Linked DNA regions of Saccharomyces cerevisiae S288C. The protein of the gene in region 1 purifies or fractionates together with the protein of each later gene. This does not show direct contact. Each region holds a gene or a part of one and is shown in the gene's direction. Other genes may lie near its edges. The genes, in order: ISD11 and ACP1.

Region 1 (2,881 bases):
GTTGACAATTTAATAGAATGGATTAATCGTAATTTTCAGAAACGTAGAAAAAGAAAAACAATTAAAACATTATATTAAGATTATTGATTTGCCTTTTAAGGGTCCATACTCCTGGGAGAGAACATTCAGGATAATATATATACCTGAGAAACTGGCGAGTAATTTGATAATTGTTCGGATTGCATTGTTGCCGAATCCTATAACATTAGGTATACATAGTATACAAGCAATTCTCCCGACGTTATAGGAATTCACAAAAGAGAATCGATGGTGTTACTTTATCTTCCTTCCCGTTATACTTTGTCTTTCATTATCCTATTAGATTACATTTCAGTTTCCATCAATTTTTGATGGCTGTCTCTCAATTTATATTATCTTCTTATACCGTATATGATGGTATACTAGTTTACAATATTAGACGATGGATGATGATTGGTTCTTATCATAATTTGATTTCGGCAGAAGCAATATTAGAGGTATTGTTGTAACGAAATTCCAATGTCATCTGCTTAGTATTATTAATGTTACCTGAATATTATCACATGCTGCTTAAAAATGTGTTATAAGTATTAAAATCTAGTGAAAGTTGAAATGTAATCTAATAGGATAATGAAACATATGAAACGGAATGAGGAATAATCGTTGTATCACTATGTAGAGATATCGATTTCATTTTGAGGATTCCTATATTCTTGGGGAGAACTTCTACTATATTCTGTATACATGATATAATAGCCTCTCCCAACAATGGAATGCCAACAATTATCGAATTATTCACCAGTTTCTCAGGTATACCTTGTATACCTAATATCTTGTATACCTGATATCATAATGTTCAATAACAGTAAAGTGCTAATAATTATGTATTTTTTTGCCGATTTTTCAATATTTCACCTGTTTATCGGTGTCAAAGTACTACGTTTAGTTTACTGTAGGGTTAGTTGATTTTTTTACGGCTAAATTTATGTTGTATTACGGGCTCGAGTAATACCGGAGTGTCTTGACAATCCTAATATAAACAGTCTTAGGGAAGTAACCAGTTGTCAAAACAGTTTATCAGATTAATTCACGGAATGTTACTTATCTTATATATTATATAAAATATGAATCATATTAAGTGGTGGAAGCGCGGAATCTCGGATCTAAACTAATTGTTCAGGCATTTATACGTTTGGGTAGTTCAGCTAGGGAAGGCCGGGTTTTATCTCATGTTGTTCGTTTTGTTATAAGGTTGTTTCATCTGTGTTTTATGAACGTTTAGGATGACGTATTGTCATACTGACGTATCTCATTTTGAGATACAACAATTTACAGTTGTACTGGTCCTATAGTGTAGTGGTTATCACTTTCGGTTTTGATCCGGACAACCCCGGTTCGAATCCGGGTAGGACCTTTTTTATTCATTTTTACATAATATATGCTGAATATATTGGTTAAAGAGGTTTTTTTAGTTCCCAAATGTCCACAGTAAAGTAGATAAAGCAATAGCTATTTCCATCAAATCCAAACAATATTGTATTACCCACTTATTATTAAACAATGCATTTATTGGAGAAACACCCGCTTTCCGGGTAATAGCAGTCTATTTATTCTCATTCATTTATAAGCGGCGGAGAAAAATGATTGAGGAATTGATATAATTACACAGTAACTTTACGGAGCCTAAGGTAACAAGTGAAGTTTGGATAGCAGTTTTATTCCCATTTTTATCTGCAGTATAGGGAACTTGGAATCACCTTTTGAAAGAAGAGAAATGCCTGGATTTACAGCTCCAACAAGAAGGCAGGTGTTGTCTTTATACAAGGAATTCATCAAGAATGCTAATCAATTCAATAATTACAACTTCAGGGAATACTTTTTAAGTAAAACAAGGACTACTTTCAGAAAGAACATGAATCAGCAAGACCCAAAAGTGTTAATGAACCTATTTAAGGAAGCTAAGAACGACTTAGGTGTCTTGAAAAGACAGTCTGTTATTTCTCAGATGTACACATTTGACAGGCTGGTCGTAGAACCATTGCAAGGAAGAAAACACTAAAACCTGGCCTAACTGGTCATTGCATGTAAGAAAGAACTTTCCAGTAATTTTTTCCTTCTCACGTCAGGAAATTCGTATGGTTATATCTTATAGAGAGGTGGCCGCCTTTAATTTGGAAAAGATATTATTAGATGATATTCCTAATTTTCGACCGATACTTTGCATGGTTGGACTTCAATTAGATCATGTAATTTACTTCCTTAATATCAATAGCATTTCTTTTTTGGTAGAAGATTTTTCTTTTCTTTTCTTTTCTTCAACCCACATGGGACTATAAGAGGAGAGTTTATAGCTTGTATATAAAACGCTATAACTAAAACATAAGCCCACTCTGAGGTGAGATGTCTTTACGGTATGATAACAAGCTGATGCAATGAGAGATCCTATGAATTGCTTGGATTCTTTTACATCAGGCATAAAGTTTCCGAAGTATGCAATAAAATGAGTATTTGCTTATTTATTGTTTGTATCGGGCGATCTTACACCTACTTTATGTGCGTAATAGTTGCATCTTCTTTTTTCGGACCATTCCATCGGATAAACTTCTTAGGTAAAAGTGAAAAAAAAAAAAAATTCGCTTATATATTAATCAAGTCATCACTTGGAAGCCGTTCTCTTCCGTTTACAACACGAAGAGCCAACTGTTTTCTTGTGTCATTCTTTAGCACTCTTTCTTTTTATTTTTACATTTTTTAATTAAGATCACCAAATATACCGGGAATATAATGAAGAGAAAAACTGCTGAAGTTAAAGGTGAGAAGGAGAGAAATTCCAAACAAATTTCCCTCGAAGAGGACAAGATAAAGGGTATGTTCAACCCTAAAATCTGGGACAAGACTTTCC
Region 2 (2,451 bases), on another chromosome or scaffold:
ATGCACCAAATATCAATATCTTCAAAGTTTGCTAGCTTGGCCACATTTGGCTTTCCGACAACAAATAAATAGTGTTTTTTCTCACGAGTTTTGATAAGCTTGACCAGCTCGTTGATAGTTTCTCTTGTATTACGTAGCGACAGCGTGTTGACCAGAATACCTATACATCCCGCTGTTCTTGCCACATGCATGTACTTGTAACGCCTCATTAGAGAGGGAAATGGCCCCGTTACCATGCCAGGTAAAGCCGGATCGAAAATATGAACAGATTGAAACACAGTAGACAAATACAGTAATCTCGGATCCTGTGGGGTGGTCAAATGGAAAAGATGATAGTCCTCGGGCGAGATGTTGTCTGCTTTGTCGTGCTGACCAAACAGCACGCTATTTTTTTCGAACACACCCACCTGGTCTACGTCTTCGGGAACGTGAAAGGTGTCAAGTATGGTTACGAATTTTTCTTCTACCGCAGAGGTGTTCACTTGGGAATATATGATATTTGTGTAGTGCAGGTCGCCCTTCAAAATATTGTACAGCTGTGACAAATGCTTAGAGAAGGGTGCGTTTGCCATCAAACAAATTTTGGAGGATAAGTCTGGGAATGCCCTCTGAAAGTTCTCCACCACCAGTGCCAAATCCAAAAATGGAGTTCCGAATGAGTAAACCACGGGCAAGTTTTGGATGGCGTTCAAACATGCGTCACCAAAATGTACCACGACTTCTGCATGTACGTGTTCAGCAGCGACCTCGTCTACACAGCATGCACTGTACGCTGTGTCAGCTAAAACCCAAAACTTTATCTTCCCATGGGGAAATTTCGATTGCAGCAGCCTTACTATCAACGAGGAGTCCTTGATTAAATCGTCAGGAAACTGCAAGGTCACGTTTTGGTACTCCGGGTGCTGTTCCAGATAACCCACGAGAGGCTCGACATTGTAATAAGCCGAGATAAGTTGCATAAGCTCATCGCTATTATAACATGGCCCCAAGTATGAAGACCTGTCAATTTCATGTGTCTCCACCTTCTGAAACGCCACGTCCGACTGAGTAGTCGATAAGGCCGGTGCAACTTCCATTTTTCAACCTTTGCACGATCTTTCAACGCTGCCACTTAGAAATCCATCACTAATCATCTTAACTCTTTTACCTTTGAACTAGTCTTTTTTCTTCTTGTTGCGATGAGCTTCTCACTGAAAAAAAAAAAAGTAAAGAAAAAAGAAGCACCAAGTACATATAAAAGGACAGATTTAACCAAATGGCATACTTAAAAAGACATTCTGAAGTCTACCATAGCATTAAAACTATCAGACTGATCCTGTAGATGTCTTATATGTATTATTCTTTTCACACATACACTCCGAAGAGACTCCATGGAGTTTTATCAGAGTCACGTGACATATATCACTGTTGACGGAATACAGATTATTTGTCAATTGCTTCTTTCTTCGCCCCTTCGAACGGGTTCTGAGTAAAAGAGAAAGGTGGTGATGACGAAGCAAAAGGAAGAATAGTCACACTTGCAGTGTAATTAGTACAAACAACACAACTAACTCAATACAGCACCTTCCTTGCCATGTTTAGATCCGTTTGCCGCATTTCTTCCCGCGTGGCACCTTCTGCGTACCGCACTATAATGGGCCGTTCCGTTATGTCCAACACCATACTCGCACAAAGATTTTATTCTGCAAACTTGAGCAAAGATCAGGTTTCTCAAAGGGTCATTGATGTTATCAAGGCGTTTGATAAGAACTCTCCCAACATTGCCAACAAGCAAATCTCCAGCGATACCCAATTTCACAAGGATTTGGGGTTGGACTCCTTGGACACTGTCGAGCTGCTCGTAGCTATTGAAGAAGAATTTGATATTGAAATCCCTGACAAAGTGGCTGATGAGTTGAGAAGTGTTGGTGAAACGGTCGATTATATCGCTTCCAATCCCGACGCAAACTAAGTGTCCGTCCCCGCTCTATTATATTGTATCGTGTCACCCCCATGTCATATTATATTCGTATGTATATAAATAGATCGATTGACCCGTATATATATATATCTATATAACCAGCCCTGTTAATACTATACTTTACTCTCTCCTCCCTTTTTCTCGTTGTTTGTTATTTTGGCCCCGAATTATTATATATTAAGGTACTGTTGAAAAATAAAACATGTATAACCTTTTGAATGAAAATAGCAAGAAGTCGGAAGAAATCTAGCACCACATAGCCATCATTATGGATAAGAATTCAGTTAACAAAGATAGTGAAGAAAAAGACGAAAGACACAAGATTGAGGTTGTAGACGATACAAATCCTGACTTCATCACTGCAGATTCGGAACTGACACAAGATCTGCCTGATGATGTAGAGGTTATTGACTTGGTCCATCTAAAAATCAAATCGTTAGAAGATTTGAACCTTTATAGGTTCAAGAATTTGAAACAATTATGTCTCAGAC

Evidence for each region.
Region 2: the proteins of ISD11 (region 1) and ACP1 purify together in Saccharomyces cerevisiae (affinity purification with mass spectrometry; 4 studies listed by BioGRID, with this or other methods). This does not show direct contact.

The regions. Positions count from the first base shown.
Region 1 is NC_001137.3:248,965-251,845, forward strand, and holds ISD11 (Isd11p), read left to right. Parts: upstream 1-1,753; coding exon 1,754-2,038; downstream 2,039-2,881. Other genes in the region: TPA1 (oxidative DNA demethylase), read left to right, coding at 2,764-2,881.
Region 2 is NC_001143.9:79,660-82,110, reverse strand, and holds ACP1 (acyl carrier protein), read left to right. Parts: upstream 1-1,573; coding exon 1,574-1,951; downstream 1,952-2,451. Other genes in the region: DPH2 (2-(3-amino-3-carboxypropyl)histidine synthase), read right to left, coding at 1-1,076; type 1 protein phosphatase-activating protein SDS22, read left to right, coding at 2,229-2,451. UniProt on the Saccharomyces cerevisiae protein: Carrier of the growing fatty acid chain in fatty acid biosynthesis. May be involved in the synthesis of very-long-chain fatty acids.